2 linked regions of the Rattus norvegicus genome follow. Each later gene encodes a partner of the first gene's protein in a complex. Links are inferred from orthologs where the notes say so. Each region holds a gene or a part of one and is shown on either strand. Other genes may lie near its edges.

Region 1 (4,535 bases):
ACACAGTGGCTATCTCTAGGTAAGGAGGGGGTCAAACTCTCAGCATCTCCAAAATTTTTTTTTGTTTGTTTGTTTTGGAGAATCTGAAGTAAATTTGGCAAAAAAAAAAAAAAGAATAAATAATAAACAAAATGGCCTGGCTGATTAGGTCTACCTGTGTTTAATCTCTTAGGTAGTCCAGAAATTGAAAGAGAAAAAGGGAAAATTAGGCAACAATAAGGAAACTGAGCAAGAGAGAAGGAGAATCCGCAGCCCTTGAGCGCAAAGCACAAACCCTTGACAAGCACAGTAGTGACAACTGAATCCCTAGGGACGTCTTCCCATATAACGAACCCATTTTCCTTAAAGTAAAATACAAAATTCTTGATATAAGTGTTCTAACTAGAGCTGTGGTTGTGAGAAACTGCCCCAGAGAGAGCAGTAAAACCTGTATGATTTCAACCGTTTCCCTGAACCATCCTCATCCCCCGCCGGAATCCAGAGTTGTTTATGGCTGCTATAAAACACCCTGCAATAACCAGTGTTAGCCATCGCCTGGTGACAGGCATAAGCACATACTGTGGAAATAATCTACAAACTGAAGGATGTCTGGAAACTACAAGCTTCTGGAAAAGGCACCGTGCAGGGGTACCAGCACACCCTCGGCTTCATTTTGGTCCTTTGCGCCCCCCACGCCTGTCCCCTCCCCACTATGGGATGGCCGCCCAGGCCTTAATGACGTCGCCAGCACTGCTGAGCAGCAGCCCCTGCGCAGGCGTAGGACAAGGCTGCAGGTGGGTGGGGGCCAGCTCGGCGTCCCTCCCGGGTCCTCCCAGGAACGCGGGGAGGGGGAGGCGTGCACACACACAGAGCAGGGGCCTTACGCGCGCGCTCGCTCGCACAACCCCGCGCATGCCGCAGGCCCCCCGCGCGGCGCACCTTCGGGGACCCGCGAAGACGCGCGCGCGCGCCCGCCACTGCAGACAGCCGCAGCGGCGGGCGCGCGCGCTGAGGCGGAGGCGCGCACACTACAGGGAAGGGAGTGACAAAGGTGATGGGAGGAAAACCACCCTCAGAGGATGGGGACGCCCTCGCCGTCGCAGGGAAGGGCGACCACCGCAGGGAAGGGCGAGCATAGGAACAATGCGGGCGAGCCGCAGACCCCGAGGAGCGTCTCCGAGCGCTCCGGATGAGGCAGCCGACACACGGCTGGGGATGTCACCCGCGCGCCAGGCGATGCGCACCAAAAGCCCCCTCCTACCGTTACGGACGCACGAGGAACACCGGACAAAGGGAACACACCCACTGGGGCAAGGGCGGCCACACCCCCTCGGCGCGCGGGCGCTCGGCGAGACCCGCGGCGACGCGCACACCCACACTCACCACACACCCACGGAGGGAGGTGTGGAGCGCCCCGATGCCCAGGCATCTCGGCTGCGGCGGGATGCGCAGACGCTTCCGGGAGCCCCGCCGCGCGCAGGGTCTGCACTCACCCGGGCCCGCAGCCCGCGAGCCTCGGACGCGGGCTGCCGACGCCTCCGGCCCTCCACGTCAACCAGACCCGCAGAGCGAGCGCTGAGCCGCTCCTGAGGCGGGCGGGTCACGTGGCTTGGAGGCGCGCATGCGCAGTCGCCGCGCCGCCCCCCCCCCAGCTCGGCTGGGTGGGTGGTGAGACCGCGGTAGCCCCCGCTCTGCGGACGCCGTGCGCCTGCGCCAAGCGGCGGGGGCGCCTGGCAGCCCCTGCTTTTCCTCAGGTTTTTTTATTTTTTTCTTTCCGCCCCCAATGCGGGTGTCTGGGCCGCGCCTGCGCAATGGGCTGAGCGCCGAGGGGCTGAGGGTGGGGACGGGTGGGCGTTGGTGCTTGAAGGACTCTAGGTCCAGGGCTTTCGGTTTTCTTTGAACGTCACGTAGGCAGGGAGAGAGCCCTTCGTGAGCGGGCAGGACTCGGGACCTTGGTCCGGCCTGGGGCCCCTTCCTCGTCTCAGAGGGTCCGAGGTGCGCTTTTTCCCCGCAGCGCGCGCTCCCGCCTCCCCATCTGCAGGGGCGCGCGCACGCGAAGGGGCCCTTGTTTGGGGCGGGCGCGTGTGAGCATCCGCAGTGGCTATGTCCGCAGCAAGTGATGAGATTATGTAACAGACCAATGGTGAAGGGAGATGGGGGGGAGGAGGGATGTCTGACGACGACTGTGTTCCTTCTCCACAGATTGTCTAAAGCCACAGGGAAGATGGTGGAAAATTCACCGTCGCCATTGCCAGAAAGAGCGATTTATGGCTTTGTTCTTTTCCTAAGCTCTCAGTTTGGCTTCAGTAAGTACTGGAATGATGGATGGCTAGGGCCTTTAGTGGACCTTTAGTATTCGAGGACCGGGAAATAATGCATTTGTCCATAGAACGTACACATGTGACCTGTTGATTCTTTCTACTTTTAAGGAGTCCTGAAGGGTACCGTTTGTTTGCTCAGTTGATATATCCAGTATCAGGTTAAATCACCCAATATTTAGCACCAGGCTTGATGCTAATGTGAATAAAACCTGGTCCCAACCCTTGAGGTCATCGTCCTGTGGAGAAGAATAGTAAACCCACAGTTCAGAGAGCATGTTGAGTGCCCTGGGAGAGCCTTGGAAGGTTTAGAGACTATGGTTAGCTTCTTCCAGGGCACTCCCTGGTAATTATATCAGAATAAGTCAGGAAGGACCATGAGGAGAGTCCCTGAATGAAAACCAGTGAAGGTTTTTCAAAAAAAAAAAAAAAAAGTGAGGCGTTTATAGCTCCAAGGAAGCAAAACTGGAGCTGAAGAGTGAAGAGAATGGGCCAGAGAGGTCAGGTGTAACAGCATACCCTTAACATTGATCACCATAATGTTCCATTTTATAGATGAGGCCACTGAGGCTTCAAAACAAAACAAAACAAAACAAAAGGTCCCTCAAAAAGTTTGGAAGATATGAGGCAATCAAGTGGTAGAAAACTGAATGCCCACAATCCAACCTTCTGGGACTAGATAGAAATCAGAATGTATATGTGGAAGTGTCGTTCCCAACTCCTAAGTACAAAACCCTAGCTTAACCGTAGTGTAGTGGAATCGGTGGAATGAAGTAGCCACAACTGGGTTCAGTTATGGGCTCTCGTGCAATTATTGTTTGGTCTGAGAGCTTTTTGTTTTGCATGAAGTGAGCCTGTGAAGTAGGTGCTGCCTTGCTTCCTCAGTGTAAAGATGGGAATACTGGATTTCAGTGACTTGATCAAAGCCAAGAAGCAACGGGACTGGAATTAGAACAGGTGCACTGCAGGCTTCGCTGTACTAAGGACCTTCTCTGACTCGTGTATTAACTCGGGTGATTTATGAAAAGAGGCTGCTGAGTAGGTATTAGCTGCCGTTTATTTCTGTAAATTCCTACGCAAAGAGGATTTAAGGATTAGAGACTACAAACATGTTAGATACAACCAAAAACTAATGGAAGACTTTATTGAGCACTTACCATGTACCAGGCAGTGTTACAGGCCAGGGAAAGGCAAAGCAAGCCAAGCCTCGTCGTCTGCTTTCATTGAGCTTTCCACATAGTTGGAGAATACAGGTAAGGAAAACAAATCCAGGAAGCAAAACGGTGGGGAGGGAGGTTAAGGAGCAGGAAGAGCCCTCCCCATGTGCTGTGTGCTGTCTCTTAGTACCACTTACAACAGAGTAGGGGAAAGATCTCTTTTCCCATCGTTGTTCAGCACCAGAAGCATTTGGGAAAGCACAAACCCTCTCTTCAGGAGTGACTGTATCCCAGTCTTGACCTACAAAGCTGTAACACTTCATTCTTAACGGAAAAAAAACCATCACCGTTGATGTAGCTTGAAACCTGTCTTCACTTCCCTTGTACAAATGAGTCCTTTCTCATGTATAAAACAGACGTGTGTGCTTCAGGACTGTTTTGAAGATTAAACGAGTTAGTGCATGTAGAGACATTCAGGACCTATTGTTACTGCACGGAGACAGCAGGAAAGGAGCCCACAATGACAGGGTGTTGACAGAAAGAAGATTGTGTATAGACAGTCAAAACCAGAGAGGACAAGTTCCCCTTTAAGCCACTAAATGCAATTATATCTTCTCTGTGGAGAAATAGTGAACATGTAGAATGCAGAAGCAAACTGTTAGGTGCTGTGAAAAGAAGTTGCTAAGAAATAATATGTCACAGACTTTTTTATTAGTCATTTTATTCATTTACCTTTAAAATGATATCTCCCTGATTACCCCTCCACAATCCCCCCATTCCATTCCCCCTGTACCCCTCCCCTTTACCGCTATGAGGGTGCTTACCCACTCCTGCCTCACCACTCTAGCATCCCCCTTCGCTGGGGCATCAAGTCTCCACAGGACTAAGGGCCTCTCTTCCCATTGGTGCCTAACAAGGCCATCCTCTGCTACATATGCAGCTGGAGCCATGGGTCCCTCCATGTGTACTCTTTGAATGGTGGTTTAGTCCCTGGGACCTCTGGGTGGTATCCATAGGCTTTTTAAAGTGCAGTGTGAAAACCAAGACACTAAAAACTTTTAATAGAGTAATTATGGTAGGT
Region 2 (3,731 bases), on another chromosome or scaffold:
CTCTCTCTCTCTCTCTCTCTCTCTCTCTCTCTCTCTCTCTCTCTCTCTCTCTCTCTCTCTCTCTCTCTCTCTTTTGGTTCTTTTGTTTCGGAGCTGGGGACCGAACCCAGGGCCTTGCGCTTCCTAGGCAAGCGCTCTACCACGGAGCTAAATCCCCAACCCCAACATTCTCTCTTAAAATTGCATTTTACACTTTTTGCAGGAGTACACGCGGGTGTGCTGCAGTACATGCGTGGAGGTCAGAGGACAATGCGAGAAGAAAATAGGTTCTCCACCGTGGGGGTGGGGGTCCCCGAGGATCGAACTCAGTTACTAAGGCTTGGCAGGAAACGCCCGTACTCGCTGAGCCCTCTCATCGGCCCAAACTACTATTTTGACATTCACCAATTCAAACGTAAAACGACGGATCGGACTCGTTCCCCGCTGCTTCAGAGGCTGGGTGATGGTGGCTGCGACCAAGTTTGATTCAGGCTTCAAGTTTATCAGTTAGAAATGGGGAAAGCTTTTCAGCGCAGAAAGACACCGGTCTGCTCTGGAACGCCGTGAACACACTCTGCGGCAAATACGTTCCTCTCCAAGGTCCAGCAGTCCTGGCACACAGGACGCCCAGCCGGAGGCCGTGGGGTCCGGGGCAGGGAGGTCCTTATCAATCAGGGTCCTCTCAGCACCCCTCTGGCTTCACCCGTCACTCAAGACTACGGGGGCGGAGCCTGAGCGCCGGAGCGAAGGCGTGGTGCGCTGTCCAATGAGCACGCGCGGATCGGCTCCCTCGCGGGATCTGGGTTTCTTACCCCGCCCCCTCAGGGATTTGATTGGGCGGCTGGCCCGGGTGCTCCGCCTTCGTAGAGCGGTGACGGTCACAGCCAGGCGCAGCCGGGACCCGGACATTTACAGGCCAGTGAATGGTGAGTTCAGGGTCTCGAGATCCGATACGGGCGGAGGAGCTGTTGGAACCGGCTGGGACAGGACTCGCGCTAGCAAGGCGTCTGCGCCACGGACGCCTCCGGTTCCGCTTGGCTGGCTGGTTCACTTTCGATTCGGCCGGGTTCTCCTCTGCCCTGTTCGGCTTGGTCCGGTTCTCTCCGGCTTGGCTCGGTTCTCTCCGGCTTGGCTCGGTTCTCTCCGACCCGGCCATCGCTACCCTCGGTCAGCCAGAGACTGCAGCGGGACCCGGGTGCCCCTTCGCGTCCCCGAGGCGACTGGGCCCAGGGCTGGCGCTGTCTTCACTCTGTGCATTGACGACGGGCGGCTCGTGACGAGGCTCCGGGTTCCGGTGCTGGTCCCCAGCCGGTCCTCGTCGTACGGGAAGCCTCCACTCAGGTGTCTGAAGTGAATCTGGATTTGTAGGTCTCATTCCGCTTCCTCGGTTCGAGAAAACACTATCAGTCCACCTGTCCTTCATTCTGCTTTTCGAATTTCTTAGTTCCCAAAGAAATGGATGACACTTGAGTGTTTTGAAGGTTTGTTTTCTAGTCGGGCGTGGTGGCTTGGGAAGACTGATGCAAGAGGATCCCAATGTTTGAGGCCAGACTGCAAGTGACAGCAATCCTCCTGCCTTTAACCTGCTCAGTACTGTACAGGCTGTTTCCCCTTCTTTTCCTTTCCCTTCCCCTCATCTTGTCATCTTGCACTTTTCTCATACAGTAAGGAATCCTTTAGCCAGCGCTGCGAGGGACACGTGTGTTGTCTGCAGTCGCTGGTAACCGCTTCGTGTGGTGGTGGATTGGATCAGAACGAGGCTGAGGAGCCGTCACCCTCAGCCTGGGACCGCTGAAGTTTTTGTGTGCTCTTGGGAAGCATGCCTGGATGAAAGAGGAGTCCAGAGAAAGGGAAGATAAGACAGGAGTGCACCAGCACAAGAACATAACTTTGAAAACAACCGAGTTTTCTTGAACTGTATACCTTCAGAAGGGAGGAGGATGATCCTGTCTCTGCCCACCCTGACTGTCCTCATCCCGCTCATCTCCCTGGCGGGCCTGTTCTACTCCGCCTCTGTGGAAGAAAACTTCCCAGAGGGCTGTACCAGCGCCAGCAGCCTGTGCTTCTACAGTTTGCTTCTGCCGGTCACCGTACCGGTGTACGTGTTCTTCCACCTGTGGACTTGGATGGGCCTGAAGCTCTTCAGACATAACTAGGGTAGCTGAGGCCCCGCTTGTGCACGGGGCAAGAGGCTCCTGGTTGTTGGGTTCTGCCCTCAGGTGTTGCAGATTCTCCTGTTAGTGCTGTAGCTGAAAAACACTTACAATAAATATGTCCCAAGGGAGAGGAACATGACCGGTCTTCATCCGAAGACTGTTTTTTCTAAGATTTATTCTTAATTATGTGGATATGAGTGTGGGTCCCCAAAGAGGCCACACGAGGGTTGGAGGTACGAGCAACTGTAAGACTGCCGGAGCTTTACTCAGATCCTCTGCAAGGGCAAGCAAGTTCATGTCCTTAACCCCTGAGCATCTCTCCACCTGCCTGTTTCCTCCCTTCCCTTAGTTCTGGCTAACCTCAAACTGTGAGAGGCAGACCTTGACCTCCTTACCTTCCTGTCTCTACCTCCTGAGTGCTGAAGTTATAGGCAAGCATTGCCGCATGTGTTTATGTGGTCTGGCAGAACCCAGGTCGTGAACGCTAAGTCGGCACTCTGCCAGCCAACCACCCTGAGGACTGTGTTGTTGTTGTTGTTGTTTTGAGTCCATTCATTTAAAAGTCCGTCATTTGGAAGCCGAGCAGTGGTGGCACTCACCTTTACTCCCAGCACTCGGGAGACAGAGGTGGATCTCTTGAGTTTGGGCCAGCACAACGAGACTGTAAAAATAATAATTTGGGATTTTGTTTCAGCTTCAAGGTCAGTGGTGAGGTGTTGGATCTGCTGAGACAAGGGTTTCAGATGGTTGGGAACTACTGTGTGGGTGCTGAAGAAAATCCAGTGCTCAGGGATGACTCCTTTGAGGAGCTGAGTGGTCCGTAGGTTGGTGGCTCACAACTGCCTGTATTTCCAGTTCCAGAGGCTCTGACTCCCTCTGCTGGACTCTGGGTACCTGCACACCTGTGACATGTCTATTCATTCACACACATTAATAAATTTATTTTTAAGAGGGAAAAAAATCTGACTATAAACTTACCTTCATTGTTTTTTCTTTTACATTTATTTTTTTTCTTTTCTTTTTTTTCAGAGCTGGGGACCGAACCCAGGGCCTTGCACTTGCTAGGCAAGCGCTCTACCACTGAGCTAAATCCCCAACCCCTCTTTTACATTTATTTATATGAGTACACTCTAGCTGTCTTCAGACACACCAGAAGAGGGCATTGGGTCCCATTACAGATGGTTGTGAGCCACCATGTGGTTGCTGGGAATTGAACTCAGGACCTCTGGAAGAGCAGCCAGTGCTCTTAACCACTGAGCCATCTCTCCAGCCCCTACCATCATTTTTTCAGTGTCAGGTGAGCAAGGTCAGTGTTGGTGTTTTCTGGTTCTTGGATTCTTATTCAAGGAATAAAGGCCCATATACAGATTTTCAAAGTTGCAAGGAAATTTCACTCAAAGCAGAGCTAGATCAGGCATGCAGATACATGAGCCTATGGGGGCTCTTCTTACTCAACCACGACACCTGTTCTCCCAGCCTAAATTCCTCTGACTCCTTATGACTCCCTGTACCTCTAAGTTCAGAGGCTCTGCCTCCAAAAGCACTGTACTCAGGTTTTTAACACACACCCCTAAAAATAAACACAAAGTTTTCAAA

The links.
Region 2: Pigp (region 1) and Pigy share a complex: the UniProt entries of both Homo sapiens proteins name them as parts of the glycosylphosphatidylinositol-N-acetylglucosaminyltransferase (GPI-GnT) complex. The link is inferred for Rattus norvegicus from reciprocal best matches to the Homo sapiens genes PIGP and PIGY.

The regions. Positions count from the first base shown.
Region 1 is NC_086029.1:47,155,838-47,160,372, reverse strand, and holds the start of Pigp (phosphatidylinositol N-acetylglucosaminyltransferase subunit P), read left to right. Parts: upstream 1-1,606; 5' UTR 1,607-1,733; intron 1,734-1,787; exon of another isoform or gene 1,788-1,974; intron 1,975-2,083; exon of another isoform or gene 2,084-2,098; coding exon of another isoform or gene 2,099-2,203; coding exon 2,204-2,285; intron 2,286-4,535. Other genes in the region: E3 ubiquitin-protein ligase TTC3, read right to left, coding at 1,363-1,408. UniProt on the Homo sapiens protein: Part of the glycosylphosphatidylinositol-N-acetylglucosaminyltransferase (GPI-GnT) complex that catalyzes the transfer of N-acetylglucosamine from UDP-N-acetylglucosamine to phosphatidylinositol and participates in the first step of GPI biosynthesis.
Region 2 is NC_086026.1:28,964,781-28,968,511, forward strand, and holds Pigy (phosphatidylinositol N-acetylglucosaminyltransferase subunit Y), read left to right. Parts: upstream 1-1,644; 5' UTR 1,645-1,919; coding exon 1,920-2,135; 3' UTR 2,136-3,096; downstream 3,097-3,731. Other genes in the region: uncharacterized protein Pigyl1, read left to right, coding at 250-459, 695-1,333. UniProt on the Homo sapiens protein: Part of the glycosylphosphatidylinositol-N-acetylglucosaminyltransferase (GPI-GnT) complex that catalyzes the transfer of N-acetylglucosamine from UDP-N-acetylglucosamine to phosphatidylinositol and participates in the first step of GPI biosynthesis.